Linked DNA regions of Struthio camelus. The protein of the gene in region 1 interacts with the protein of each later gene in a biochemical or structural test. Links are inferred from orthologs where the notes say so. Each region holds a gene or a part of one and is shown in the gene's direction. Other genes may lie near its edges. The genes, in order: ERBB3, SH2D1A, ABL2 and TNS2.

Evidence for each region.
Region 2: the proteins of ERBB3 (region 1) and SH2D1A form a complex in vitro, tested with the Homo sapiens proteins (2 studies listed by BioGRID and IntAct, with this or other methods). The link is inferred for Struthio camelus from reciprocal best matches to the Homo sapiens genes ERBB3 and SH2D1A.
Region 3: the proteins of ERBB3 (region 1) and ABL2 form a complex in vitro, tested with the Homo sapiens proteins (2 studies listed by BioGRID and IntAct, with this or other methods). The link is inferred for Struthio camelus from reciprocal best matches to the Homo sapiens genes ERBB3 and ABL2.
Region 4: the proteins of ERBB3 (region 1) and TNS2 form a complex in vitro, tested with the Homo sapiens proteins (2 studies listed by BioGRID and IntAct, with this or other methods). The link is inferred for Struthio camelus from reciprocal best matches to the Homo sapiens genes ERBB3 and TNS2.

What each region holds. Positions count from the first base shown.
Region 1 is NC_090969.1:622,576-630,389, reverse strand, and holds the start of ERBB3 (receptor tyrosine-protein kinase erbB-3), read left to right. Parts: upstream 1-4,804; 5' UTR 4,805-4,867; coding exon 4,868-5,015; intron 5,016-7,814. Other genes in the region: RPS26 (small ribosomal subunit protein eS26), read left to right, coding at 979-1,018, 2,220-2,504, 3,012-3,142, 3,261-3,296. UniProt on the Homo sapiens protein: Tyrosine-protein kinase that plays an essential role as cell surface receptor for neuregulins.
Region 2 is NC_090952.1:10,915,861-10,922,977, reverse strand, and holds the start of SH2D1A (SH2 domain-containing protein 1A), read left to right. Parts: upstream 1-4,104; 5' UTR 4,105-4,215; intron 4,216-7,117.
Region 3 is NC_090949.1:6,364,081-6,371,595, reverse strand, and holds the start of ABL2 (tyrosine-protein kinase ABL2), read left to right. Parts: upstream 1-4,514; 5' UTR 4,515-5,482; coding exon 5,483-5,609; intron 5,610-7,515. UniProt on the Homo sapiens protein: Non-receptor tyrosine-protein kinase that plays an ABL1-overlapping role in key processes linked to cell growth and survival such as cytoskeleton remodeling in response to extracellular stimuli, cell motility and adhesion and receptor endocytosis.
Region 4 is NC_090969.1:1,672,024-1,679,126, reverse strand, and holds the start of TNS2 (tensin-2), read left to right. Parts: upstream 1-4,093; 5' UTR 4,094-4,117; coding exon 4,118-4,210; intron 4,211-6,566; exon of another isoform or gene 6,567-6,666; coding exon of another isoform or gene 6,667-6,672; intron 6,673-7,103. UniProt on the Homo sapiens protein: Tyrosine-protein phosphatase which regulates cell motility, proliferation and muscle-response to insulin. Phosphatase activity is mediated by binding to phosphatidylinositol-3,4,5-triphosphate (PtdIns(3,4,5)P3) via the SH2 domain.

The sequences.
Region 1 (7,814 bases):
ACTGTAAGTTTTGTACTGTACTGGCTGAAGGTCTGTTATAAATAAACATGAGTAATTTAATGCCCCTGTTTTCTTCCCGAGGGGGCCTGGGGGTCTCCCCCCCCCCCAGGGATGGGGGGGCCGGACGCCTGGGTCCCTCCCCAAGGGTTTGGGTGGGGGGGAGGGAAGGCACTGGGGGGCCCCGGGAATTTTGAGGGGGGAGGGCAATGGGCCCCCTTAGGATTTGGGGGGGCAGGGTATTCCCCCCCCCCGATTTTGGGTGGGGGGGCGCTGGGGGGGTCCCTCCCCAAGCGTTTGGGGGGCAGGACGCTGGAGGTCTCCCCCACCGGGGTTTTAAGGGGGTGCTCAGAGGGTCTCCGCCGGATTTTGGGGGGGGTCTCTCGGGATTTTGCGGGGGGAGCAGGACGCCCGCGGCCCGCTCGGAGGCCCCCCGGCCCAGGACTACATTTCCCAGCGTGCCCCGCGGCGCCGGGGCGGCCGCACGTGGCCCGCGGTGCGCGTGCGCGTCTAGACGCCTCGCGCCGCACGTTGCGTAGAATCGCTCCGCCGCGCGGGCGCGGCGCGAAGGAAAAGTAGTTCCCCTCCTCCCCCCCCCCCCGCCGCGGCGGAGCCACCGACCGCCGCCTCCGCCGCCCCGAGCCGGCCGCAGGGGCCCTCTGGGGCTGTCCGGGGCCGGCAGGGAGCGGCGGGACCGGGGGGGGCTGCGGCGGAGGCACTTCCGGGGCGGAGGAGCGGTATATAAGGGCGGCGGCGCGGGGGCCGGATCCTCTTTCGGCTCCAAGATGGTGAGCGGCGGCGCGGCCCGGGGGGTTTGGGGGGTCCGGGGGGCCCTTAGCGCCGCCCGCGGGGGCCGGGGGGGCCTGCTCGGGGGCCGGGGGGGTACCGGAAGTCTCTGGGTATCGGGGGAGGCTGGTCTGGGGGAGCCGATGTGGGGCAGAGGGAGGCTGGGGGGAACTGTGAGGGCCTATGTAGGGCGGCATGGGGCAGAAGAAGGCTGTGGGGGGCTATGAGGGACGATGTGGGGCGGGGGGGGCCAGAGGGAGGCTATAGGGGACGGTGAGGGACGATGGGGGGCCAGAGGGAGGCTATAGGGGACGGTGAGGGACGATGGGGGGGCAGAGGGAGGCTATAGGGGACGGTGAGGGACGATGGGGGGGCAGAGGGAGGCTATAGGGGACGGTGAGGGACGATGGGGGGGCAGAGGGAGGCTATAGGGGACGGTGAGGGACGATGGGGGGGCAGAGGGAGGCTATAGGGGACGGTGAGGGCCGATGGGGGGCGAGGGGGGCAGAGGGAGGCTATAGGGGACGGTGAGGGCCGATGGGGGGCGGGGGGGCCAGAGGGAGGCTATAGGGGACGGTGAGGGCCGATGTGGGGCGGGGGGGGCCAGAGGGAGGCTATAGGGGACGGTGAGGGCCGATGTGGGGCGAGGGGGGCAGAGGGAGGCTATAGGGGACGGTGAGGGCTGATGTGGGGCCATGGGGGGCAGAGGGAGGCTATAGGGGACGGTGAGGGCTGATGTGGGGCCATGGGGGGCAGAGGGAGGCTATAGGGGACGGTGAGGGCCGATGTGGGGCCATGGGGGGCAGAGGGAGGCTATAGGGGACGGTGAGGGCCGATGTGGGGCCGTGGGGGGCAGAAGGAGGCTATAGGGGACGGTGAGGGCCGATGTGGGGTGAGGGGGGCAGAAGGAGGCTATAGGGGATGGTGAGGGCCGATGTGGGGCCATGGGGGGCAGAGGGAGGCTATAGGGGACGGTGAGGGCCGATGTGGGGCAGAGGGAGGCTATAGGGGATGGTGAGGGCCTATGTGGGGCCATGGGGGGCAGAAGGAGGCTATAGGGGATGGTGGGGGCCGATGTGGGGCCATGTGGGGCAGAGGGAGGCTATAGGAGACTGAGAGCCGATGTGGGGCCATGGGGGGCAGAAGGAGGCTATAGGAGACTGTGAGAGCCGATGTGGGGGCAGGGGGGTACGAGGGAGCCCGTCTGGTGCAATCGGGAGGCCCTCTGGGTGGGGGGGGGGCATTTGGGTGGTGTCTGGGTTGAGAGGAGCCCATATGGGGCTTTTAGGATGTTTAGGGGAGGCCAGAGGCAGCATAGGTGGGGGTGATGGGGATGTTTGGGGCAGCTGGTGGTGTTGGGGAGGGGATGGGGAGCCCCAAAGGGGTCTGTGGTGGGGCTGGATCCTGGGTGAGGCATCCCCAGCGGAGGGCTTGAGGCGATGAGGGTCCTTCAGGGTTGGGGGCCTGCGGCCTGGAGACAGGGGCCTCGCTCTTGGGAGCGCGCCTTGGCTTCATTCGTCGCTCTCTGCCTTCTCCTCACCAGACGAAGAAGAGAAGGAACAACGGGCGGGCCAAGAAGGGCCGTGGGCACGTGCAGCCCATCCGATGCACCAACTGCGCCCGCTGCGTCCCCAAGGACAAAGCGATCAAGAAGTTTGTCATCAGGAACATTGTCGAGGCCGCGGCAGTCAGAGACATCTCTGAGGCCAGCGTCTTCGACTGTAAGGGCCAGGGCGCGAGGGGGTCCGCGGGTGGGTGCCTTGGGTTCCCGTTGATTCAGGGGTGATCCTGCTCCCGTTGCCTGGAGTGACCTCGGTCACTGCGGCGGTAGGAGGCGGCTGGAGGCAACTTGGTCGCCTTCCGCGCGCGAGCCGCGGGGGTACCGCCGGCCGTTCACGTGGGGACAGACCCCCAGCGCTCCCGACTCCCAGGGTAGCGCTGGCTCGGAAAGGAGCAGGAGGTTAACGGAGCGCTGAGGAGCCGTGACCTGCTGCGCTGCCGTTGCTGTGCTCCATGGCCTGCCGACCCCCCGCGCGGGGATGCGGAGGGGACGTGTTTTGCCCCAGGCTTTTGGGGATGAACAGCAGAGCGCACCGCAACGCGGGGGGGACAGATCTGTGGGGCAAAGAGCTCAAACCCTTCGCCTGGCCCCAGTGCTGGGGGTCCGTCTGCGCCGGCGGAGATCCCGTGCGGTTCCCCCTGACCCCGCTCTCCCCCCCCCCCCCCAGCCTACGTGCTGCCCAAGCTGTACGTGAAGCTCCATTACTGCGTCAGCTGCGCCATCCACAGCAAGGTGGTGAGGAACCGCTCCCGGGAGGCCCGCAAGGACCGGACCCCCCCGCCCAGGTTCAGACCCGCCGTACGTATCGGGGACGCTGTTCCGGCTGTGGGGCAGCCCCACGGAGGGTGGCTCTGCCTGGTCTGCTGGGGACTTTCTGCCCCCGAATCTCGCCAACGCTCTCCCTTTCTCTTTGCAGGGTGCTGCCCCGCGACCTCCCCCCAAGCCCATGTAAAGAGATTCCGGCTGAAAACGTTTCTGAAAACAGTCTCAATAAAGGACTCCACACTGAGCCGGGCTGAGCGTGTGTGGGGCTGGCGGCCGGGGTGGATCCGTGCATGGCGGGACATCCCAGCCCCGTTCTTGCAAGGGGGTCCCTGTCCCCACGGGGGGCCGCTGTGGGGCGGGGGCGGCTGCCTGTGCCCAGGGCCTGCGCTGGGCGTTCCCGCGAGCGGCGGCTGGTTCGTTTTCCTGGTCCAACAGGCAGGTGCCGGTGCTCTTTGCCCCGCTGGCGCTCGCCGGGGCCGCCCGGCCCGTTGGCAGCGGGAGGGGGAAGGTGTGCGTGTGTGCACGCACCTGCGTGTCTGAGCTGGGGGGGGAACTCCCACCCAGCCCCACTCCTCTGGGGCGTCCCTCGTCTAGGGGGCTGCTTGGAGCAGGGCGCTGGCTGTCCCTGAGCTCTCGGGGGCTGCGGTGGCTGGGGCTGCCCCAAATCCTATTGGGGGGGGGGGGCAAGACCCTGGCTGGTGGGGGGCTGGGTTTGTCCTGGGGGGCGTGAGGGGCTGGAGGGCTGCAGTGAGGCCAAGCTGTGTCCTGGGGGGCTAGATGGGACAGAGGGGCTGCAGTGGGGCCAGATCTCGGCTGTGGGAGGCAGGAGAGGGTGGGGGGGGCTGCAGTGGGGCCAGGTTGGTCCTGGGGGGCCGGATGGGGTTGAGGGGCTGCAGTGGGGCCAGGCTTCACTGTGGGGGGACCCGAGGTGGCTAGGGGGCTGGATAGGGGCCAGGTTGGTCCTGGGGGGCCGGATGGGGTTGAGGGGCTGCAGTGGGGCCAGGCTTCACTGTGGGGGGGCCTGAGGGGGCCAGGCTCCTCCTGGGGGGCTGGATGGGGTTGGAGGGCTGCAGTGGGGCCAGGTTGGTCCTGGGGGGCTGGATGGGGTTGGAGGGCTGCAGTGGGGCCAGGTTGGTCCTGGGGGGCTGATTGGGTGTGAGGGGCTGCAGTGGGGCCAGGCTTCACTGTGGGGGGGCCTGAGGGGGCCAGGCTCCTCCTGGGGGGCTGGATGGGGTTGAGGGGCTGCAGCGGGGCCAGGTTGGTCCTGGGGGGCCGGATGGGGTTGAGGGGCTGCAGCGGGGCCAGGTTGGTCCTGGGGGGCCAGATGGGTGTGAGGGGCTGCAGTGGGGCCAGGCTTCACTGTGGGGGGACCCGAGGGGGCCAGGGGGCTGCGGTGGGGCTGGTTTATCCTTGGGGGGGGGGAAGGGGGTTGGATGAGGTCGAGGGGCTGCAGCGGGGGCCAAGTCCGCCCCCCCCCCCCCCCAGCCCAGAGGGAGCCGCGGCGGGACCAGGTTTCGCCCCGTCGGGGCGGGCGCAGCGCCGAGCGCGGTGCCGGACGCCTGGGTCCCTCGAGGGGGCGGCGGGGCGGGGCGGGCGCGGCCGGGGCGCCCCGGGGGCCGCCGCTGCGCTCCGCCCCGGCCCCAGCCCCGGCCCCGGCCCCGGCCCCGCTCCGCCCCGGCCCGGCCCCGCGCCAGGTGCATTCCCCCCGCCGCGCCCGGGCACGCCGCAGCCCGCCGGGCTCCGCTCCCAGCCGCCGACATGGCCCCATCCCGCTCCCGGTCTCGCTCCCGGTCCCGATCCCGCTCCCGGTCCCGATCCCGCTCCCGGTTCCGGCCCCGCTCGCCCGGCGCCCTGTCCTGGGCGCTGCTGCTGCTCTGCGGCCCGGCCGCCGGCTCCGCGCAGGCAGGTGAGCACCGGCCCCGGCCCCGGCCGGGCCGCTCCGGGGGCAGCGGCAGCGCTCGCGCGGCTGCAGGGACGGACGGCGGCTCCGGTGCCCCCGACGTTACCGGGGCTGCGGGGGGGCAGCGGCAGCGCTCGGCGCGCCGGGGCTGCGCGGAGGCGCCGGGATGCCCCGAGGGGGGGGACCGGGAGCGCGGGGACGGTCGGGCCCCCCGGTGCCCCCGACGCTCCCGGGGTGGGACGAGGACGGGGCCGGGGGGGGGAGTCCCACCGGGCTGGCACCGGCGGCGGCGGCGGCGGCTCCCCCCTTGCCCAGGACGGCTGCGCCCCGGCGCCACGACCGAGGGGCTCCCTCCCGGGGGCTGCGCGGGAAGGGGGGGGTGTGAAAACCGGGGGGGGGGCCGAGCCGGGGCCGGGGGCTCGACGCCCTCCCGGCAGCAGCACCTGTGCTCCCCGCAGCTGCCGGCTAATTTTAGGCTCCGGGGCCGCCCGGGCCACCAGGAATCCGGAGCGTGAGACCCTCGGGCCCCCCCGGCCGGCGCTGCCCCCCGGCCGGCGCTGCCCGCCCCGTCCGGGCTGCGGGGCGGCGGGTGGCGCGACGGGGGCATCTCGCCTCGGCCCCGCCGTCGCGGGGAGGCGAAAGGCGGGAGAAAGCGGAGTCGGGGAGTGAGGAGGGGGGGGGACGGTCCCGGAAGGAAAGCGCCTCCCAGGAGTTGTTTTTCAGCCCCAAAATGAAAACACCGAGGGCTGGACGTGAAGGTGGAGCCGGGCGCACGTCAGTGGTGCGAACGCGCCGTGCGTGTGTGTGTGTGTCTGCACGGGTGTGAAACCTGTGTCATCCGCGTTGCTGGGCGCGGCGGTTTCGGGAAGGGGAGAAAGGGAGGAATAAACAGGGCCCCGTCGCCGGCACCTCGGTGCGCCAGGGCCCGGCCGCGTGCCGCCAGCGATGCACGGGGGGCCAGCGTGCACGGGGGGCCAGGGTGCGCGGCGGTTGGCTTGCACGGGGGCCGGGGGCTGCATCGCAGGGGGCGGGTTTGCATGGCAGCCCGGGACGGGCTCGCACGGGGGCCGGGGACGAGCGTGCACGGGGTTGGCGCGCCCGGGGCCAGCTCGCACCAGGGCCGGGGACGAGCGTGCACGGGGTTGGCGCGCCCGGGGCCAGCTCGCACCAGGGCCGGGGACGAGCGTGCACGGGGTTGGCGTGCCCGGGACAGACTCGCACCAGGGCCGGGGACGAGCGTGCACGGGGTTGGCGTGCCCGGGACGGGCTCGCACCAGGGCCGGGGACGAGCGTGCACGGGGTTGGCGTGCCCGGGACGGACTCGCACCAGGGCCGGGGACGAGCGTGCACGGGGTTGGCGCGCCCGGGGCCAGCTCGCACCAGGGCCGGGGACGAGCGTGCACGGGGTTGGCGCGCCCGGGGCCAGCTCGCACCAGGGCCGGGGACGAGCGTGCACGGGGTTGGCGTGCCCGGGGCCAGCTCGCACCAGGGCCGGGGACGAGCGTGCACGGGGTTGGCGTGCCCGGGACGGACTCGCACCAGGGCCGGGGACGAGCGTGCACGGGGTTGGCGCGCCCGGGGCCAGCTCGCACCAGGGCCGGGGACGAGCGTGCACGGGGTTGGCGCGCCCGGGGCCAGCTCGCACCAGGGCCGGGGACGAGCGTGCACGGGGTTGGCGTGCCCGGGGCCAGCTCGCACCAGGGCCGGGGACGAGCGTGCACGGGGTTGGCGTGCCCGGGACGGACTCGCACCAGGGCCGGGGACGAGCGTGCACGGGGTTGGCGCGCCCGGGGCCAGCTCGCACCAGGGCCGGGGACGAGCGTGCACGGGGTTGGCGCACCCGGGGCCAGCTCACACGGGGGCTAGAGACCGGTGTGCACGGGGTTGGCGTGCCCGGGGGCCGCGGGGAGCTCCTGCCCCGGGAGCTGCAGGTGCCCGGCCCGCGGGGGCAGCCCTGCTCCGCCACCTCCCAGCCCGTCCCCCCGCCCCGGTCCCCGTCCCCGTGCGGGGCCGGCTGGGGCCGGTGCCCGGCGCCAGCTCTGTGCCCCTTTGTTCGGGGCCGGGATCCGGCCCCGCGGCAGCGGCCGCCCCGCGCACACAGACCCCCTTTGTGCCGCCGAGAGCCGGCGGGTCGGGGACCCGCTTCTCCCCCCCAGCCTTCCCGGAGCAGGAGAGGGGGGGCCCGGACGCCTGGGCCCTCCTGGCGGCGGTGGCGCGGGGCCTCGCGGGCGGCGCGCTGGCATGCGGCAGATAGCGGCGGCGTGCCGGAGCTGCCAGCGGGGCCCCGCGCTGATAACGCCCGGCCGGGCGACGCCGCACGCCGGGGGCCCAGGGGCCGCCGGAGGCAGGTGCAGCCCAGGGGCTGCCACGGCCCCAGACGCCTGGCCCCCCCCCACCCCCCCCGTGCCTCAGTTTCCCCAGCAGCGGGGCGGCCCGGGGCCCCTGGATCCGGCCCGCGAGGCCTTTTGTGCCGCGGTTAATGATTCACCGGCGTCGTCTCAAAGTGCCACTTGTTCCCGGCCGCACTGCTGCCCACGGGATTCCCGGGGTCCCGCTGCCCCGCGCCGGCCCCGCTCTGCTCCCTGCCCCCCCCCCCCGCATGGCTCGGGGCCCAGGCATCCGGTCCCAGCTCCCCCCACCCTCCCTTTGCCCCCCGGTGCCTCTGGGATTTCCCAGCGCCCCAACTCGGTGCTCTCCCAGCTGTGCCCATCCCCAGGGCGTCGGGGCTGGGCCGAGCCCGTCCACCCTCCCGCAGCCCGCGAGGCAGCTGGGACCTTTTTATAGCCCCTTCCCCGATGAAAATAG
Region 2 (7,117 bases), on another chromosome or scaffold:
AGTCGCTTTGTCTTGTGTTTCTAGGTTGATTTATCCATTAAGGACACTCACCCCACAACCTGTCTGCTGTGTGCACAGCCCTGTGCCCCGGGGAGGCCAGAGGACCTGCACAGCCTTAAGAGCAAAGTGACCAAGTCATTGGGCAAACAAGATACAAGCTGCATCAAATCTTGCTTGAGAAATCCAGCTGGTCTCTTAACGAATTGTGACTTTAAAACAAGCGTTTCAAACGAGTGAGTGGCAGTGATGACAGAGGCCGTGGAAACTGGGTAAACCTTCGATTAGTGATCACGGTAAGAGCAAGGGTTCGGCGAGTATGGTAAGAGTATACGAGCCATTGCCTGTTGTAATGCTGTATAAGCGCTCTGTGGTTTAAATGAGAGTGAATTTTACTCTTTAGCGCGTGCCAGGGAACGAGTAAATGGCTGGGGACGCCGTGGCTATGTCAACATCCGTTCAACCACCGGATGGCATTTCAAACAGCAAATCTCACTCTATTTGCACTTCCTGAATGAATTGCTCTAGGAGATGAAGCTGGCCAGTCTTGGCTGTTAGTGGATCCCGTTCGCCGTGGCCTGACGGCGAGATCGGGAGCGGAGGCGATGCAGGCGTTACAGGCGAGAGCCTTGTAACGATAGCAGTCGCTCCCCGGGACCGAGTTTTGTTTGCTCTCGACGCTTGAGCAGGATCTGGCCGCTTCGCGCGTCTCCTGGAGCGCTTGGCTGCTGTGCGCGGGCGACGTCCCCGGCCGGGCGCCCGGCGCTCTGCTGGCTCCTCTCCCGCGCGCAGACGCTCGCCGCCGCGCGAAACACCCAGCGAGGTAACAGCTGTGAACGGGAGCCTGGGGACGAACATACCACCACGTGCCGCCGGCTCTCCCCCACTTCGGCGGCACCACGGGCAGGGCGCAGGAGGGAGGTTTGGGCACACAGAGCCAGGTTTTGGCAAAGAAGTGGGACCGAAACCTGTGGTGGGGAGGGTCTTCCGACTGCGTGTCTTGCTATTTGGCCTGCAGCGGGAGATGGAGGTGCCTAAATCGCTCTCTCCAATGAAAAACCTAAACCCAGCCTGCCACTGCTTGGCGTTCAGGTGCCTCCCTGTTAAAAAAAAAAAAAAAAAAAAAGACTTTCCTAATGATTCGATATTTAAGAATATTTTGAAAGTAGCCTCCTTGTGAGCCTGAGACTTACCACTGAGCCTGCTCTTCTCCCTGGCCACAGGGCTGGGAATTACGTGGCCTGCTGCTTGGTTTTAATTTTAGTCTGACGCTTGCTTTCTAAAAGGCACGTTCTTTTGTAAAAGCTTTGAATTCTCCCTCTTCTCCCACTCCGTCGCCCCTTAATCTCTTCCTGGCCCTCATCCCCCTTGGAAAAACCGCGGCGGCCTGCGCCGGTCCTTGCTGTTGCAGGGGTGACTCGCAAACGCGCTGCAAGCAGGCGACGCTGCCGGGCCGAGCAGGTTCCCCGTTTCGGCAAGACGGGGGCCGGGGCAGGCGGGGTGGCCCGCTGCGCGGCCGCCTGTGCAGCCGGGCCGGGACCGCGCCGCCATCGCCGCCGCGGCCGCTCGCTCATGGGAGAGGGAAAGCCGCGCCGACGCCGCGGGGGTTAGCGCCGAGCTTGCCCCCCGTTTAGCCCGGGGAAAGCAACAAATACAAAGCTGCAGCGCGAACCAAGGCGCGTCAGCGCGTTGTGGCGCGGCGCCGCCCCAGCCGCCCGCCCTATTTTTCCCTTTGTTTAATTGAAGCTCAGGAAGCGTAAACTGTGACGGTTCTGCAAAAAGGAAACGGCACCACAGGTGACTTCCTCAGCAGGAGCAATTATTATATGTTTATGTTTTTTGTTGCAGCCTGTGGCTGTCGGTGTGTAACTGACGTGCAGCGTTCGACCCGGCAGCGGCTGGCGGGGGTCGTGCGGCCCGGGGCAGGCGAAGGGGCAGGCGGCGTGGAGCCGGGCACCGCGCAGAGCCCTCTGCCCGCCGGGTTTCCTCTCGCCACGCCGCCCGCCCTCGTCGGAGGGCGAGGACGTAGTTGAGCGAGGCGGTCTGATACGAGTCAGACTCCCAAGCCGTTTGCGAGGTGGCTGAGGGGGGGAGCTGGGGCGTTGAGCCTGTTGATTCGCAAACTTATAACCCGGAAAGTTAACAGGTAAAGCCAAAAAAATAAAAAAGGCAACAGCTCGCGTGCGGTTGCCTGGGACGCCTGCCGCGCGTTGCCTGCGCCGCAGCGAGCAGCAGCTCCGACTGGAGCCGGCACCTTCTCCGCTGCAGCCAGCCCGAGCTGGTCGCTTCGGTAGCTGTTACGGGAGCAGCTGAGGAGGTGGCTTTCCTTCCCCACCAAATGTAACTGCAAAACGTCCTGCGCGGGGCTGCTCCGGCCGTGTCCGCCGGGAGCCGCCAGCCTCCTGGGCCCTGGGGCGTCTCGCTGGCCCGCGGGGAGGAAGCTGCTTCTCCTCCTCGGTTTCCTCCCTTGCTGCGGCAAAGGGAATAAACGCTGGTTCCTCCCCCTCGAACGGGGCCACGCAGCAATTTCTGTTCGGCCTGGGGAAATGGGGAAAGGCTCCGGCACCTCGGTACCCGCTTGGCCCCTTGGCTCAGACTAGTGCAAGCGTCTTTTACCACATTTCCTGCCTGGGTTTCGTTAAGGGTGGCACGTTACTGCAGAGTTTTCTAGTTTTGGTATTGATGAGCCTGTATTTTCAAAATAACTAAATAAATAAATAAATGACAAGAAAAGAAAAAGAGACAAAAGGTGGCGAGGGGCTGTGGGAGCCGCCTGACCTTGGGCGCGCGTGCCAGGCTCATGAAACGGTGTTTCAGAAGCACGAGGCGGTGAGGAACGCGGGCTCGGGTCTTAGCCCAGCAGAAAGGGCCGGGTCGTCGAGCGCGCGGCCCCGCCGGGCCGTGGCAGGCGCTCCCGGCGTGCCGCGCCGGAGGGTGCCCCGTGCCGCGGAAAGGCCAGGGAAGAGCCTGGAGAAGACTGAGCTGCAGACACCGTCCTCCCGAGGAAGCGCTAAGCCCTTTAGCGAGGTAGGATTGCGTCGCCTTGCCTGAGGCTCGTGCCGGGGGAAGGCTCTCGAGGTTCGATATCTGCGTATATTCGTGTTTGCAGAGCTAACAGCCCCGCGCTCCGCAGGAGCACTGTAAATATGAGCCTTTTCTCGTCACCAGCGCTTATCTTGATTTCAGAGCGCTCTGTGGCACCCGGAGTATTTAACAGGCGCCCGGACTTTGACTAATGGTTACAGATGCCCATAAGATAGCGAGATTAGCATCTCAGCTGTCTGATTAATATGTAAATGTACCCAGTTATGTGTGAGAGCTTTAAATGAAGTAACTCTCACTTCTGCCTCCATATATCAAAGGTGTGATTGATGGAAGAAGCACTGTAGGTACCTGCTGGAAAGCATAAAAGTTGTTTTTGTCTATATTTTTCCTTTTAAAAAAAAAAAAAAGTAGACCTAAAGCTGAGATTTCCTTAGGGAGAAGAAACAACCCAGTCTGAGTTTAATCTAAACTAATCCAAATTGTTGGCCACACTCCGGCAGTATCTGTAAATTCTCGGATAGAAATAATCCATCAGGATCTTGTACAACAATCCACATGGTATCTTAAATAAACCTTCTCTTTGGCTGTAGCTTGCAGCTGACATCTACTGTAAATTATTTGATGATATTTTATATGAAAGGCTCTGGGCTGAAATGTGTGTTGTGGGAAAGGAAGGAGGCCCCAGCCCGGTGGAAGATGTTCCTTTTCTTTGCTTCCCCAGTTACATTATGCAACGCAGCTCTATTTTGCAACCTGCCTTTCGGGGAAACGGTGTGTTTTCCTGGGCTGAACAGCTCAGTAAAATAGAAATCTAGAAGCATCAAGTGATTTGTGCACCGTAAAGGGCTACGGGCTCCCTGGGAGAGGGGGAAAGGCCGCGTGCGCGGGGACGTGGGCTCCAGCCTTGGAGCCGCAGTCGTCCCCAGTCGCAGCCAGGCCTGCTTCACCGGCGCAAGGGCAGCAGCTCCCGCCAAGTACCCTCGAGAGCTGCTGGGTCGGTGGCTTAGTCTAAACGCTTCCTCAGGCGACGGCAGCGGCGAAGAGGTGAGAGGCCCTTTGCTCCTGTTGTTCCTCCAGGCAAGGTGCTTCCTGCCAGGGCCGTGCTGCGACGAGGTGACGTACCTTTTCCTCGTTGGGAGGACAACCCTTGAAACGCCACCAGAGAACACCGCTGTGAGTCAGAGCCTTCTTTCATCCTGCCCCTGAAAACCACGGCGTATGTTTCAAAATCACTTTTTGGCAAAATAAAGACCATCGCGCTGAAACCGGTGCGGGGGGAAGTTTTGCAGTGGTAGTAAAATCCAGCAAGATGCTGCCAGCTAAGCATTATATAATGTCTGCTCTCTGGGATTTGAGCTGTAAAGCTCTCGACTGCTGCAAGACCTCACAAAGATAAAATGCGCTGCAGCGCCTTGCTGTCAAAGGAGCGCAGAACACTCAAATCCCGTTATCGCTCTCCTTTGCTTCAGCCTTCTCCCCCTCGCGGGGATTTCGGGGGCCCAGGGCACGCATCATTTTCATCTCCTCTGCGTCTCTGCGGAGGATTCACGATGTGCCATCCCCTTTGCGAGACGGCCCGGCTGCTAAGAGGCGAGCTGGTAGCCCTGCTGATTAATATGATTGCTCAGCAATTCTCATTATAATGCTGCCTTGCGTTGCTGTCTGCTTATAATGGTGTCTTGTAGCTTTATCAGAGCATAATTGCTTCATCCAAAATTTTCCATGCCTTTAGCTGTTTTTTTGTTTTTCAATGGTTAGACTTCTTCTTTTTTTTTTTTTTTTAAGAACAAGGATAGGGAAAGTATGAAGTTTAGTTATTAAAAATATTTGCTGACGTTCTCTTTGTAAGTGAAAACGTTGTTTTCATCGGGATACAATGGAAGGAGGAGCAACAGCCCAGAAACGCAGCAGGTCTTAATGCTGTCAGCAGTAAAACAAGCCACCACCGCCACTGCCCCACCGTGCCCCCAGCACTTGGTGCTCAGCCCTGAGGAAAAGGCATGCTCGGGCTGTGCTGCCGGCTGGGGCAGCCCACAATGCCACGTGGCCGCGAGCCAGCTGGGACGGTGGTGCTGGAGGTCACCACCATAAGAACGTGCGTCCCTGCATGAGCACCATGTGCATCTTTGCTCTCCAAAGTCTTTTTTCTACTTTAGTGGTAATTCTACTTGTGTAATTTTCCCCCTGTTTAAGTGCAGCAGCCTGGACACACATGCTGGCATTTTAAGGATATTTTTCTTATTTTCTTCCAGTTCCTCTAATGTAGGAGAATCACCTCCTTGTAGGCACTGACGTCAAGAATGGTTTATTGTATTCTGGGTGACGTATTAATTTAAGATAATCGTTGGGCAGATGTTTAAAGCTTCCAATGCAAATCAATGCAATTAAACATGAAATAATACTTCACAATTCGTACTGAGAAATACCTTTATCTGAGGCTAATGTTTCAGAATGAAATGTTCAGCAAGTTTGCTGATGATACTAAGCTGGGGGGAGAGGCTAACACACCAGAAGACTGTGCTGCCATTCAGAGGGACCTGGACAGGCTGGAGAGCTGGGCGGAGAGGAACCTCATGAAGTTCAACAAAGGCAAGTGCAAGGTCCTGCACCTAGGCAGGAATAATCCCATGCACCAGTACAGGCTGGGGGTTGACCTGTTGGAAAGTAGCTCTGCCGAGAAGGACCTGGGAGTGCTGGTGGACAACAAGTTAAACATGAGCCAGCAGCGTGCCCTTGTGGCCAAGAAGGCCAATGGTCTCCTGGGGTGCATTAGGCAGAGTGTTGCCAGCAGGTCGAGGGAGGTGATCCTGCCCCTCTACTCAGCCCTGGTGAGGCCTCACCTGGAGTACTGTGCCCAGTTCTGGGCTCCCCAGTCCAAGAGAGACATGGCACTCCTGGAGAGAGTCCAGCGGAGGGCTACCAAGATGATTAGAGGGCTGGAGCACCTCTCCTCTGAAGAAAGACTGCAAGAGCTGGGCCTGTTCAGCCTGGAGAAGAGAAGACTGAGAGGGGATCTCATCAACGTGTGCAAGTATCTGAAGGGGGAGTGTCAAGAGGATGAGGCCAATCTCTTCTCCGTGGTGCCCAGCAACAGGACAAGAGGCAACGGGCAGAAACTGAACCACAGGAAGTTCCACCTGAACCTGAGGAAAAACTTCTTCACTGTGAGGGTGACAGAGCATTGGAACAGGTTGCCCAGAGAGGCGGTGGAGTCTCCTTCGCTGGAGATATTCAAAAGCTGTCTGGACGTGATCCTGGGAAATATGCTCTAGGTGACCCTGCTTGAGCAGGGAGGTTGGACTAGATGATCTCCAGAGGTCCCTGCCAACCTAAACGATTCTGTGATTCTGTGATTCTGTTATAGCAGAACTGTTGAGTCTCTGTTAGGCGGGTGTGAGGCTGATGGGTTTTGACCTGGGATTATAATGGGGTCACTTCTCTCCCTTGAAGTCTCATGGGCTTTCCTGACTATTCTGTTCTGCTTGCTGTTTTTGTCATAAAACACAGCCCTTCCTGCAGTGCTGGTCAAGGCTGCTTCAGCAGGAATATTGTTTATTCCTTGGGATGTGTTTTTTGGAGCCTAGTGCACTCCAACGCCCAAGTTCCCCTGCTCCCATCCTTGTTAAGGGCGAATGGCTGCTGGAGGCCAGCCCAGAGCATGAGGCAAAGCGGGTGGCACGGTGCCGCTGGAGAGGACTCCTGTGAGCGGTGCTGACACGATGAGAGGCTGACCCGTACACCCTGGGGAGAGGTTTCTCTTGTTTCTCTGCATCAGCTGAAAGAGCTCTTGACGTCAATGTCTTTGCTCCAGATTTTCATCGCCTTCCTGCGGCACGTTTTCTACTTTGCCTTCTCTTCCCAAGTTTCTGTGAAAGGCAAATCAAATGGTCGTTTGGGTTCACTGCATGTTGGTCTGTGCTTCAGCTCGAAAATGCTTAAGCGTCCATCAAGTGGAAAAAAAGTCAAAAAGTATTCATCGTCAAGAGAGATTGGGTAGAAGTACAGTAAAGGATATAGCTTTCTTCTGAAAGAAAAAACTGGTGTCATTACCTTGGCACAATAATCCCAGGGGATC
Region 3 (7,515 bases), on another chromosome or scaffold:
GAATCCACCATGCTTCCACAAACTCGCGCATAAGCCGAAATCAGAGGGAAGCGTACCAAATTTTCTGAGAGACTCCTCTAAGAATATTTTAGCTCTGACTAATGTAGCCTTATTTTGTTTTGGACTATCGTGGTGCTTTTTCGAATTCAAATGCAGTAGAGTAGTCATCAGAGGAATCTAAGACGGGATGAGTTGTGCCTCAGATGCATTGATGGAGATACACGCTATAGTACCGTGCTCCAAAGCATTTACTATACCTTAAATGTCAGCTTTCTGGCTGCAAACCTTTCAGGGAGATAAAAGCAGAAAACACCAGAAGAAAAGCTTCCATCTGCAAACTAGAGATCCCTCACTGTTCAATGAGCCAGTAAAATTTCAAACTAGGAACCAAAAAAATTAGGCTCCTAAACAGGAATTAAGGAAACCCTGGAACTCTGGTAGCAAAAAAAAAACCCACTTCTATTGACTCGCCTGGAGGCAAATGCCTAAAAGCCTGAATCATCACCAGTGCTGTCGAGGGACCTCATATTACCTCAGCATATGTACTTTATCAGTGATCACACTGTGCAAGCTGAGTACTAATTTGCAATTCCCAGCAGATGCAGAGACTTGTCATCGTTTTTGCTTGGTAGAGGCATCATTTTCCGCAGAAAGAGGCAAACAAACAACTTTCCTAATGCTCTCATTAGCATACCCTTCTACAACCATTCGTGCCTTAAACAGATGCTTGGGAAGGGCGTGCAGCTGCAGTACTCAGACAAACATATCAGACAGGAAAACAGCTACTGAAGAAGTCCTATATTCTGCTTATTCCATGTTCCCCCACTCTAGTTCTGCTCTGGCGGAGGCTATGAAGAGATGAAGAGGTACCATAATGAGTATAATTCATGCAAAACCTCAGAGCAGTTCATGCTTTCTTACTTGCAGTTGATGGATAAATACACAATGACCAGTTACACACTGTTATGACACAGTGAGGCTGGACACTCACATAGTATACCTAACACAAAACTACAGGAGCAAATCAATGAAGAATCAGGGTACCTGACATGCTGTAGTGAGCTCGCTACACACAGTCACACTGATTTTTTCCCACTACAATGTAGTACAACTAGGCCCTTTCATTCCTCCACGCACAGCCCCAGATTCGCTTTCTCTACCCCGCATGTCAATGTTTAAAAAGTAGTAGTCGGTTGTGTCGGAAGAGAGCGGCCTGAAAGAGGATTATGCTGAAGCAGCATCAAAGAGATAACGAAAGGTTGGTAGCACCTTTCATTAGAAAGGCGGAAGGATTTTCGGGAGAAGGGCTGAGATGGTGTGATACAGCTTTTTGGGGAAGGGTGTATGTGTACGGAGAGTTTGCATTGTAACTATGGTGGAAGAAAGAACAGCTATTCACGGAGGAAATTTCATCAGTCAAGGGCTGCATGTGAACCTCTCTGTGCTGTTGGGCTAAATCTGTTCGAAAACCCTACTTCCTGGGAAAGCTTTTATGCTTACAGACCCTCACTAAACAGGCATGTGAGTACCGCAAGCTATCTTTCATGCACTGTACACAAATTCTCATTTAAAGCATAACAATGATTAAAAATAACTTTTAAGGCAACAATGAAACACTAACTACTGTGCCATGACAGATTCATGTAGACAGTACATTTTAAGAGCTGTCAGTCAAAGACAGACAAAGAGGAAACAGTGAGTGCTTGTGCATGTTTCATCCAGAAATGACGGTCTCCTTTGAAACGGCTCAGCAATTAAAAGCTTTCAGAGTTTAGTGGAGAGCTCAGTAACTAACCTTATGTCACAAAGCCATTATCGGTCTAGATTTTAAAATCTTTCTATATCTATGCATTTTTTAATGTCTTTCCCCAGGACCCCTTGCTTAAGACTAAGAAGGCGCTGCTTGGTGTTGCGCAGGGGAAGGCCGGAGTGTTTCCAGGTACGTTGAGCAGCAACGCCAGGGGCCATCTAGTGGACATTACACACTGCCTTTGCAGACATCCCAGGGGAATTAGACGGCCCTGATTTCCAGGATTTGTTCTGGAATTGCAATAAAAGCAAAAAATCCTGACGTGTTAAGTGCATGTAACAGTATCCTTTACTCTTGAGAATTCTTCGAATGCCTCAGTTGTGACCAGGCCTGCGTTGTCTTGGGCACTTTACAAATACGTCACTTAATGCCATCCGTGTCCTCAAGACCAGCTAAATGTTTAACAGAAGTCTGTTTCTCTGTGTAGCTTTGATACACAGAAGGAATATGAGCTGGAAGAAGAGAAAAGGTTACTCCCAGAATTAATTTTAAAGCCACTGACAGAGTAGCACTAGTTAATTTTTCGGGAGCTACAAACAGGAGCTGCCCCGTTGACTCAATGCTTAGGCTCAGGAGTCTCCAATTTATCCACAGGCTGCTTCTGGCACAGAAACCACACTTCAGGCAAGTGACAGTGACAGCAATGAGTCCGTGACATGTAACGCGGAGCATGTAACACTGCTCAGCCAGTGATTATTTGACAGTGTGATTTTTGGAACATGCTGTGGATGCGGAGTTGCTCAAGAAACTTTGAGAAATGCATATGTGGAGAATATTTCAAGTCAGTTCAGAAGTGATTCTAGAAATATCACATTTTTGGTCAGGCATATCACTGTAATCTCAATGCTGCCTTTGTTCCTCGGTCCTTTTATCCCTTATTCGAACAGCTCATGAGACAACAGATTGACTGGAAGCCCAAAACTGTCAGGAGGGCACTAACTGCTAGGATGCCTAGTTAAATGCATGCCGCCAGACCTCTTCAAAAGACATTACCTTTTGAGAAACAACCTCTTCCAAACGCTACATGAGCTGGGTAACATCACAGCTGATAATAGCAGGCAGCATTGATACAGATTTTACCTCTTCAAAGCACCTTGCAATCGTCGCATAATTTATAACCATGGCACCCTCTGAAGTAAATAATTATCAGCCCCATTTTAATGATAAGAAATGGTGTGACTCAATGTCATCAGTGACTCAGTAGCAAGAAGTAATTTTCAGTTTGGGGAGTTTCTCATTTATATCCCCATTGCTCTTCTAGCAGACAATCTAGAAGAGTGGTCCTCAACCAGGGCTCGACATCGCCTGCTGTTGTGTGGGGCCACCAGAAACGATAACATTAAAAAGATGTTGTTGAGAGGACCAAGGACCATACATTCTGAGGGCACCGCTTGTTCAGCGCATTGTCCACAACCAGCAACGGCTGGGGCACCAATTTAGAAGCTAACTACATAAGGTACAGCATGGTCTTAAAAGTACAATTATACGCTAGCGGACAGTAACCATTCTGTAGCCCCCTTCCCCTTGCAACAGGCCGTTTCACAAGCCCCTACCTGACTCCACGCCCAGTAAGATGCGTCTGTGGGTCAGAGAAGTTCCATGCGATCGAACGTTAACGTAATCCACGCTGAGCTGTTACACGCACACAAGCTACTGAAACGGAGAATGAGGGATTTCATGAGATCTGAGGAATAAGAACAGCAAGAAACTCAATTCTCTTTAGCACACTTAAGTATAACAGTCTCTTGATATTGACATCTTCTTTTAAAACGCTAATGGCCTTCCTCTGGATAGTTCTTTGGGAACTGTGTATAAAAGGCATTAGGAAAGAAAAATATGCTTTCTGTTTATTTTGAAGAGCTGTTCTATCCTACAAGGCAACTGTAAATGGCACAAGGCAGTTTTACGTTTGTTGTCTCTCTACAGTCTCCAGAGAACGTACATTTTGTTTACAAGGCAAACCATTTTAAGTGCCAGCCCTGCAAATTCTGGCTGGAATGAGACCAGGAAATATCTCCACTGTAGAGTTTACCCATGTGGGCCAACCCTGCTTGAGACTGTCCATTTGAAGAGTCTTGCAGAGAAACCCTCTGTTCATATTCACATAGTCACGTCCAAGCTAGGTCCTGGGACTCGGCGGGACGTACCCCCATGCAACATCCCAGATATTCCCAGTGCTATTTTAAGAACAGTTTTGTCGTGTGTTATTAGCAAGCCTGTCGGTAATTCCTGATCTCCACCATGTTCTTAGTCCATTGGTTTAGTAAGTTAAAGCATTTCTGGCTCCGATGCGCTGCCTCACTCTTATTTATTCTAGGCTGCGTCAGAGCACACACCAGCCCAGTGGGATGAACCACCCCCTTTTCAGGCTGAATTGCTGTTGCAGCAGGGCACAATTTGAGTTTATGTCAGTATGGAGAGCACTTTGGTAGCACCTCTTGACCCTGAGAAGGCAGACTATGACCTTAAAAGTGTTGCTAAAGATTTTGCGTAAAAAAGCTCACTTTCATGGAGCACACAGAGTATTCCCTGACCTTCCCGCCCCAGAACACCCACACAAAGGAAGCGGGACGCCGCTTGCTGTGGCTCCTTGGAGGCTGGCTGGCTCCGAGTGTTATGGAGCCAACTTGTCATTGTCACGTCAGTTCTTAGTGATGTGGCGGGTACTGAGATGAGCGCCACTGTGGCTCATCCCTGAAGCAGCAAACATTGCCAATGCATTGCTGAAATTGTAGTTAGCTTGGAGAGAGAAATACTTCCAAACATCTCAGTCCTCTAAACAGCCACACGACCGATGGGTTTGGTTTTTTTATTTTATTTTATTTTTTATTTTCCAGGGTGAAACCTCCCCTCCTCTGCTTTGAATTGGAAAGCCTTCTGCTGGCAGGAGAGAAGCCGAAAGGAGGCAGTTTAACCGCACGCCAACGACTTGCAGAACAGAGCGCGCGGTTCGGCCGCCTGATGACCAGAGGCGGCCGCCAACCGCACCTGGCCGCCGCGCTGGCGTTGTTCGTGCCGCTGCGCCTCCCAGAACCCAAGGAAGGCAAGGAGAGCAGGTCAAAGCTCCCGTCACCACGAGGGCTGGGGCCGGCGAGCAGCGAAACACGAAGCGCGCCCGCCGCAGGAGAGAGCCGGCCCGGGCGCCAAGGCTGCTGCAGCGTCGCCGCACGGCTTCCCCTTCTGCAAGGCCGGGTCCAACCCGCTCCAGCAGGTGGGAAAGCGGCCCCGGGGGGTTAAAACCTCGTCTCTGCTTGGATTCCTCATTCTTTGCTTGTAGGAAAGGCAGAAACTCGGGTCGGAGCCGGCGGCAGGCTTGTCGCGGTTCAGTTTTTAGGCCAAGCCGGGGGTCTTCGGGGGGGCCCTCACGGCCCGACCTGCAGACCCCCACCCGCGGGGGACATCCTCTCGCGGGCGGGGGGTTAGGCGGGGACACGCGTGAGGAAGCTGGCGCGGCAGCAAAGACACCTGCATTTTGTCCCTAAACCCGCCAAGGAAGCGGCTCGGCCGAGCCGGGCAGCGGCCGCCTCGGGCCTCGGCCGCGCAGCGACACATGGCAGCGAAGGGACGGGAACGGCACTGCCCCCGCCGGCCCCGCACGGCTCCCCCCGCCAGCGGGAAACGCTGCGCAAGGCAGGCGACCCCCGGCCGCGCCGAGGCAGCGGGACGGCGGCCATGGCGAGGGGGCGGCGGGGGGGGGGGTGGTGGGAGGACCGGAGGTGGCTGCGGGAGCCGCTCTGTCCCCGCTGCCGGAGCTCTCTGTGGTTAAGATGGCGGCGGCGGGGGCTGAGGGGGCGAGTCCGTGAGTCCCAGGCCGCAGCGCCCGGCGGCGGCGGCGAGGCGAGGCGGGCGGCAGCCGCCGCGCCGGGGAGGGGGGGAGGGGGGAGGAGCGGGGAGGGGGGGCCGGGCCGGGCCGGGCCGGGCCGGGCAGCGGCGGCGGCATGTGAGCGCGGGCCGCGGCCGGCAGCGCGGCGATGGGGCAGCAGGTGGGCCGCGTCGGGGAGCCGGGCGCCGGGCTCCAGGCGCCGCCGCCGCCGCCACAGCAGCAGCAGCCGCCGCCGGCGGCGCGGGGACTGCGCGGGAGCAGCGCGGCCAGGCCGGCGGGCCGCAGGCGGGAGGCGGCCGGCCGCACGGCCGAGGGCGGCTTCAACATCTTCACGCAGCACGGTGAGGGGCCGCGCCGGGGCGGGGGGGGGGGGGGGGTCCCGGGAGGAGGGGGGGGGGAAGGGGGCCGCGGCGCCCTCCTCTCCCCCCCCCCCCCCAACCACCACCACCCCCACCCGGCTTTTGTTGTTGTTGTGGCCTTGGCGGGGGGGAGGGGAGCGCCGGGCGCGGCGACGGACCCGGACCCCGACCTCGCCCCGGCCCCCGCGGAGGGAAAGCGCCCCCCCCCCCCCCCCCCCCCGCCGGTGCCCACGGCTGTCATTGCAGCGGCGCCCAGCCCCCGGCTCGGTGCGCAGAGAGCAGCGGTGCGTGTGCTCGCAAGCTCATCTTTGTCTCTCTTGTTTGCTGAGGCGCTTGTCACTCGCCCTCCTCGCTCTCGAGCCCCCGCAGCCCTCGGCCGGGCAGGCGGCTGCGTTTCGGCTGGAGCGTTAGAGCTGCCCTCGCACCGGGGTAGTTCTTGCCCGGCCGTTCCCCTGCTCGATGCTGTGAAGCGACACCAGATGCGTTAAGTGCAACGTGATTCGTTTCTCTAACCTCTCTCAGGAGGGGCCCAGAACTTCATATCCCCTCTCTTTTATAACTTTTCTATGCTTTCTACTCATTATCTTTATTTTGGCAGCTTCTTGCTGTAATGCGTGAGTTTGGGAAGGTATAATAAACTGAAACCTGCCTGCCTTGGCAACCATGTTGAAAATAGGTGTTGGGCTGATGCATCTCTGATCCTAAAGAACTGGTTTGGCTATTGAGAGCATCATTGATTTGGCATGTTTTAGGTGGAGAGAGATGTCAGTGTTTATAGAACAAGGCTGCTCGTGACAATACATGTTTTTCTTCGCTCAATAGAATGAGCGCAGGCAAAAAGATTAAGGAACATGCAGCCGGCAGCCCAAATGTAAATATCATCTGCTGTGACTGCTGACACGTAAGTATCTATCAAAACAAGAGTGCAGCACTAAATCTGGTTCTTAAATTCTCACTGTTATCACAGCTTTTGAGTTCAGGGAGCACTATCAACTTCAAAACCAAAACAGAAATCCACAGTTGCTGAAATGTCTGACCTGCTATTACTGCAATTAAAGCTAAGGATTACTGTTGTATTTCGTCTTTTAGCTGTAGAGTCATCAACACCATGTTTTACTATGTTTGTCTTCACCGCATTTGCATTTTTTTGTAAGGCACGTTGGCAGAAACATTACTGAAAGCCAGAATAATACTGTAAATTCACAACGTTAGGAGCAGGTCTCAGTTATGCGCTTACCCTGGTTCTTTTCAGTATGCTGAAGCCTAAGTCTTTAGTAGGCAAGCAAAACTGCTGTATAGACTGCTAAGCATGACTTAGCAGCTAGAATACCCTCACTAATGACATCATCTTTTAGCGTTTTGGTAGCAAAGATGGCTATTATGTTCTTGCTCTTACAAGACAAGTGTACGATGAAGGACAGAAAGGACATCTGTGGAAAGTATGGTACAGCAGGTGGGGCCCTGTACTTGCTTAAGAGAAACACAGTTAGGATTTTCTTGACTCAGGGCATCTTTTCATTTCT
Region 4 (7,103 bases), about 1.0 Mb from region 1:
GTGGCCAACGCTCACCTGGCTTCCAGAGCATGTGCTCACGAGGCAACTGTCACCCTTTTTTTGGGGAGAGGGGAGGAGGAGAGACCTGCGTGCTTCCTTGCCTCTCTCCCACCAGAGCCACTGGCAGATCTCTTCCTGGTGTCACCTTCGTGCTGCTGAGAGGCTGCAGTGGCTGCTGATTAGTTATTTCAGTGACTTGGAGTTTTTTAGCTAGTTCAAGAAAACGTGACATCAAGGGGACGGCACGTACTGTAGGCAGGATATAGAGACTGTGCTTCAAATTCTGCCCCAAGAGCAGAGCTGGACTCCCACCGCAGTGTTGCTGTAGGTCTCGGTGCCGCAGGGGCTCTACTCAGAGATACTTAGTGCTAAATCACACCGGGGAGGGAGACAGCAGCCTGCTCCCACCCCTCCGCTGTCAGGACAAGTTCACTCATTGCATTTTACACGTTCTGAAGATAACATGTAAAATTTGTACAAAATATCTTCTATGAAAATGATTTGTAATCTGTAGTGGACTTCCTGGGAGATGTCTTTTATTATGTAAACCCCCCCACCTTGATTTGTTTTTGGGTTTTTTTTGTTTGTTTGTTTCCTCCAATAAAACTAATCTTTAAAATACCCTTTAATGCCCAAATCATTTGCAAGTCTCTTGCTCTGGTGCCGCTTGGCAGCGGGCTGGGCCCAAGCTCTCGACTCGCTCCTCTCCCAGAAGCAGAACCTCAGAGCTTCCTTTTAAGTCCCTTTACCCTGTCCTAAAGGAAGGTTCACTGGGCCCTGCAGGTGGCAGGTCCCTTGTCTCTGCCTGTGTCAGCACTGATTTCTTGCTGCCACCAGAGGGTGGCCTTAATCCAGCCTGGCCTGTCCCTAACCCTCCCTCTGCTCCTTGCAGATCCTGCCAGGATCCGGCCGCAGGCCTCTGCCGGTAGCAGCTCCCGGGCTCTGGTTAAGGAAGGCGACTCCGGCAAACCCACCTGGGCCAGAGAAGGGTCTTGGCAGCCAGGTCTGGCATCACGAGCAGCTTTGGTGCAAGCTAAGTAACATCCTTTTCTCCTCCAGGGCTGGTGGTGCCACCTCAGTCCTGGAAGTAATCCTCAACCGAAGGCCTGGATGCGGGACAGGCTCTGCCCTCCTGCCTCCCAAAAGGGATGTTGATCCAAAACATCCCCAAAGCCTTCTGGCAGCAGGCAGGAGAGAAGCGGAGGAGGAACCCAGCAGCCACTGTGTAAGATGCTCTGTGCAGAGAGCCCCAAATGCCAGCTCTGATCTCCTCTCCGTGGCACCGAGCCCGTCATCCTTCAGCAAGCAGCTCCCTGCAGACCGGTGAGATTCGTTAGCAGCTCCTCTGGGCGCGTTTCTGGTCTGTGCTTGCTCCTGCCAGAAATACCCCTGTAGACCGTGGTGTTTCTTCTGCTCCTCCTGGGCTGGGCGAAGATCACAGGCGTCACTGGTCCTCTCCCCTCCCGGGCGCCTGCATCTGCTCCTCTCCGCCAGCCCTGAGCGGGTTGACTTGTCTCCCAGTCAGCTGCTGCCTCTCGCTGCTGTCTCCTCCTCTCTCCGCTGATACGTTCCCACGCTGAGCCCAAACCGCCCCGTCTCCTTGTGAGCTCCACAACGTCCCTATGACCGGTTGGGACTTTGAGCTCTGGAGTGGCCGTGCTAAGCCAGCGCTTGGGTGCAGAGCACCCAGGGGCTCTAGTGCGCGGGGAGACTTGTCTCGCCTGGTTAACGGGCCTGCTTTTAAGCGAATGCTTAATTAACCCTGCTAGTGTGGTCGGCGCTCGCAGGGAGCAGAGGGAAATGAGCTATTTGATGCGATCCTATTTACGAAGGGTGCTCCGTTTAAACCTGCGGTTTAGCTGGTTCCTGACTGTGCTGGCTGCAACTATATAAAGCCGCTCAGTGTCTAGCGCGGGAGGGAGTCGCTCGCGGCAGTTCCTGCGGCGCGACCGCGGAGCCTCCCCCGTGCAGGCTCCCGCCGCTTGTTTGCGTTTCCGTGCGCTAATCGTGCTCTGAAAGGTCCTTCTGGGTGCTGCCGGGACAGGCCCAGGCTTGGGGGCCTCTGCCGGGCTCCTGTCTGCGCCTTCGCCCTGCGGCTGTTTATCTCGAGGCTGCTTGCGCCGGGCCCCGCATCAGCTCCTACCCCCTTGTGCAAACCTCTCCGCCTCCGCTTGGCTGAGCCGCGATCCCAGCAGCTGATCTCATTCCTGGCTCCCTGCTCAAAAACTTGATGGGATTAAGTACCTGTATCCGGCCTCTGTCTGGGCTTCCTATCTATAAGCTGGAGATGATAAGCCTGGGAAGATGGAGGTGGCTCCAGCTACTCCAGCAGTCGCGCTTTCTTGCTCTTTCTTGCTCAGAGCGCAAAACTGCAGCCGGAGCTGGTGTCGGTGCAGGACCTACCCCAGCCGGGCTCTCTGTGTGCTCCCCGGGCTGGAAACCGTCCCTGGGGCCGCTGCCTCCCTCCTTGCGCTGCTGCCCTTGCAGGAGAACACGGCCCGCCTTGTGGGCTCTGTTTCTTTAAAAAAAAAAAAAAAAAAAACCAAAAAAACACACACACCTTGGGCCCGATTTCAGATCGTGTTTTTGCAGAAGAAACCAACACTATCTGGGCCTTCGCGGCGTGTACAATCGAGGCTCTGTGTTCGCTCCTGGGGCTTGGACGGCTGCTGTGATGTTGGGGCCAAGTCTCATTCCAGCCTGCCCCGTTTGCCGTCGGGCTGGCCGGGGGCGGGAGGGCCCCGAACAGGGCTCTCTCTTCATGGGGTAACTCGTCCCGGCTAGCAAGGTAGCGGAGGTGGGGGGAGCGCCGGCGCGGGCTTTTGGGGCCGGGACGGGGTGCACCCGCTGCCTCTCCCGGCCCTGAGCTTTCCGGCCACGGGGGAAGTTTTGCCCGGTGGCCGTAGCGGAGCAGAGCTCCGGGCTCCGCTCCAAGGAGGCTTTGAGGAGCAGGAGAGGTGAACAGCCTTTGGGTTGAGGGTTTGATGAGTGCAAGAGCCACCGAGGAGGAGGAGGAGGGTGCCGAAGCAGGCAGGGAGCTGCCTGCTTCCCCCCCTCCCCATCTCCCTGGCTTTCCAGCTAGGCTGGAAAGACAGACCCGGAGGGCCAAGTCTAACCGAGGCCGGGGTGCAAAGAGGCGCAGGGACGAGAGGGCGAACGGGCTGGCGGTGGCAGAGCTGCAGAGAAGCAGCTTTTCCCAGGCGCGGGGCGAGAGAGGTGTGTGCATCTCTAAAGGCCTTTTTGGTTGGCGTCGGGTGCCCCTGAGAGGTTTGGGGTCACGCGAGTGCCCAGGCACCGGCTCCTCGGCCGAAGCAGCTCGCGGTTGGAAACCTGGAGCAGGTTCTCTCCAGGTAGGAAACTCGGGCCGCGGCACGCCGGGAGGCGACGACGCTGCTCCGAGCCGCCCAGGAGAGGGGTTTGCTGGCAAACCGTCCGCCCCGCGTCTCCGTCCCGCTGGCCACCTCCTTGGGCTTTGCCAGCTGCTCGGAGATGCTCGAGGACGTCAGGGTGCCGGGGAGCATCCCTGCATCTCAGGCTGTCGCTAGCCCCCCGACGAAGGGGAAACCCCCATCCTGCCTGGTGCATCCTCCAGCATCCTCGTTTTGGGGATGTCTTCGGTCAAGGTGCCCATCGCAGCGGGGTGGGGGGGGGACACCCAGGAGCCACCTGAGCCAGGGGACGGGGACCGGGATGCCCTTACTCGGCCACCCGCAAGCAAGCAGCCCCCCGCGGCGCCGGCAGGGCATCTCCCGCCGCGGAAGCACGGCCGAGCCGAAAAGTGTTTCCGATTATCCCCGCTCGGGCTTCCTCCCTCTCCGAAATCCCGGGCTCCGTTGGCCCGGGCTCTGCCCCCCTCCGCGGTGCGGCCCCTGCCGGCCCCAACACCTGCGCCCCGGGGACCGCGGGGCTGGCACCGCTCCGGGTGCCCTGGCAGAGGAAGAAGAGGAGGAGGAGGCCGCCGGAGGAGGTGGAGTTTTTACCGCGGTTTCCAAGATCCTCGAGAAGAAGGAGGCAAAAAAAAAAAAAAAAAAGCGCTCGGAAGGAGGGAAAAGAAGGGGAAAAAATAATAAACTGCAGGAGGCGGCGGCGGCGGTGGCGGCGGCGGCGGGAGGAACCCATGGGCCGGGGAGGAGGCGCCCGGTGCTGGGCACGGCCCTGCTGCGCTCTGCCCGCCGGGCGCCAGGGCGCGGGGACGCGACGGCCGCCCAAGGTGTGTTACCCCGCGGGGCGAGGAGGACCCGAGGGTGCCGGGGCGGGGGGGGGTGCCCCAGCCGCAGCCCCGGGTGGCAGACGAGGCCCGGAGAGCCGGGCCACCCTGGTTCGGCTGGCTGCAGCCCTGAGGCCAGGGGGATGGTCGCCCTCCTGCCGCCAGCCGGAGGAGGGATGTCAGTGGAGGTGAGGGGAGGGGGAAGAGCCGAGCTCTTCCCCCCCCCCTCCACCTCCCAGCTGTGATTTCGGCAAGGCCGATCTCACGGCGAGAGCCGGAACCAGGAAGAGCCGGCCGGGAGCGAGGCTGGCTGCTGCGCAGCTGGGCCGAGGCCCGGACGCCTGGGTCCTCCCGCTTCCTCCCTCCTCGCTTCCCTGCTCCGTGCCTCGGTTTCCCCGGCTCTGTCTGCTCGCGCTGCCTGGCGAGGGGGTGCCGGGCAGCTCCGCAGCCCCCGGCCCCATGCCCAGGGCCACCTCCTCCCCAGGACATGGTGGGGAAAGGGGAAATTCCCCCAGGAAAGCTGAGAGCGGGTGCAGCTATCGCAGCCCTGCGTCCCAAACCCAGGGCCTCCGTCCCACACCCTGTCCCTGCATCCTAAACCCCATCCCTCCACCCCAGCCCTCCGTCCCATATCCTGTTCCTCCATCCCATACCCCAACTGTCCATCCCAAACCCATCCTTCCACCCCCAACCCCATCCCTCCCTCATACCCTGTCCCTGCATCCCAAACCCCATCCCTCCACCCTATCCCTCCATCCCATGTCCTCTTCCTCCATCCCTAACCATCTCCCTTCATCCCATTCCCCATCCTTCCATCCCAAACCTTCCATCCATCCCATCCTTCTATCCCTAACCCCACCCCTCCATCTCATACCCTCTCCCTACATCCTAAACCTCATGCCTCTACTCCATCCCTCCATCCCATACCCTCTCCCCGCATCCCAAACCCCATCCCTCCATCCCATTCCCTCTCCCCACATCCCAAACCCCATCCCTCCATCCCATTCCCTCTCCCCGCATCCCAAACCCCATCCCTCCATCCCATACCCTCTCCCCGCATCCCAAACCCCATCCCTCCATCCCATTCCCTCTCCCCGCATCCTAAACCCCATCCCTCCACTCCATCCCTCCGTCCTGTACCCCATCCCTCGACCCCGTACCCCATCCCGCACCCCATCCCTCCATCCCTCCCTGGGGCGAGGACTCTGCAGGGCAGCCCCAGGGTCCCAGCTGCCCCCACCAGGAGTCTCAGCCCACCCATCACCCCCTGCCACCCCGAGGCGGGACGCCAGGGGGATGGGCTCCGCACCTGGCCCTCCTCTCCCCCAGGGCCGCCCCGCAGGGCACCTAGCCGCGGCTGCGCCTGGCTCCGGGCCCTTCCCCTGCGGCCACCGGAACCCAGCAGTCACCGTCCCCTTCACGCCGCCTGCCCGCCCGCCGGCCCTTACGGGAAGCCCTTCCCCAGCCGCCTCCTTCCTAGAGTCCAGGCGTCCCCGCACATGCGGCTCGTCCCCCCGCAGAGCCTCTTCCCGCCGGGACACCCCGGCGCGGGGCCCGTCCTCCCGCCACCCGCGCGCCGGGCTGAGCCCCAGCAAACTCAGCCCGCTGGTTCCACGGGGTCCGCTGCCAGCTTTGACGGGCACTTGGCGGGGGAACAGGAGGGTCACAGCTCCGGGCGGCACTGCCCGGCCCCGGCCCGGGCGCAGGCTGCCAGGGACGGCGGAGCTATAGGGCCGGCGCCGTACGGCCAGCCGGGAGCGGGTGCTTACTGGGCCAAGTGGGTGAGAAACAGGGCTGTACAGGCCAATGTGGGTCTGTCACTGTGCTATATGGCCCAGGGCCCTAGGGAGCTATATGGTGCCTATAGAGCCCAGGCTGGATGGTGCAGGGCTGTAGGGAGCCCTATGGCACCTATAGAGCCCAAGCTGGATGACTCAGGGCCGTAGGGAGCCCTATGGCACCTATAGAGCCCAGGCTGGATGACTCAGGGCTGTAGGGTGCCATATGGCACCTATAGAGCCCAGGTTGGATGGCGCAGGGCCGTAGGGTGCCATATGGCACCTATAGAGCCCAGGCTGGATGGCGCAGGGCCGTAGGGTGCCATATGGCACCTATAGAGCCCAGGTTGGATGGCGCAGGGCCGTAGGGTGCCGTATGGCACTTATAGAGCCCAGGCTGGATGGCGCAGGCTGGGGGACCCCGTCCCCCTCGCTGGCGGCAGCCCCTCGCCCCCGTCCGTGCCCCCCCTCCGTTAACCCCGTCCTGCCTGGGGCCGCAGGGGTTAACGGGCCGCCGGTGACCCCCGGGGCGGCGGCAGGAGGGGCCGGGAGCGGGAGGGAGGGAAGGAGGGAGGGAGGGAAGGAGGGAGAAGGGGGGAAGGAGGAGGAGGAGGAGGAAGCAGCGGCAGCCTCGCCGCTCGGCGCCCGGCCCGCCGGGCCGCACCGGGGGGTCCCGCTGCCATGAAGGTATGAGCGGGGGCTCCAGGCCAGACGCCTGGGTCCCTCAGCCCCACCGCTGCCCCCGGCTCCCACGGGTGTTTTTGGTGGGGGGGGGGATTCCGAGCCTGGGGAGTGATGGGGATGGGTGGGGAAACTGAGGCACGGGCGGAGGTGGGGGCGGGGGAGGGGGGGAGCGAAGGCTCCCTGGGCGGCCGGCGGCGAAACGGAGGCAGCGGCGCCATCAGTGTCACGACAGCGCGCGGCCTCAGCCGGCCGCCGAGCGGAGCGGGGCGGCGCGGCCTCACCCCCCCCCCCCCCCCCGCCGTGGCGGCCCCCACCGCGGCCTCGGCGCACGGGAAGCGGCTATTGTGTGTGCGGAAACCGGGGCTGGCCCGGCCGCCCGCCCCCGGGGTCGGCCCGCCCGCCCGGGTGCCGCCGCGCTCCGCTCCCGCTCCCGC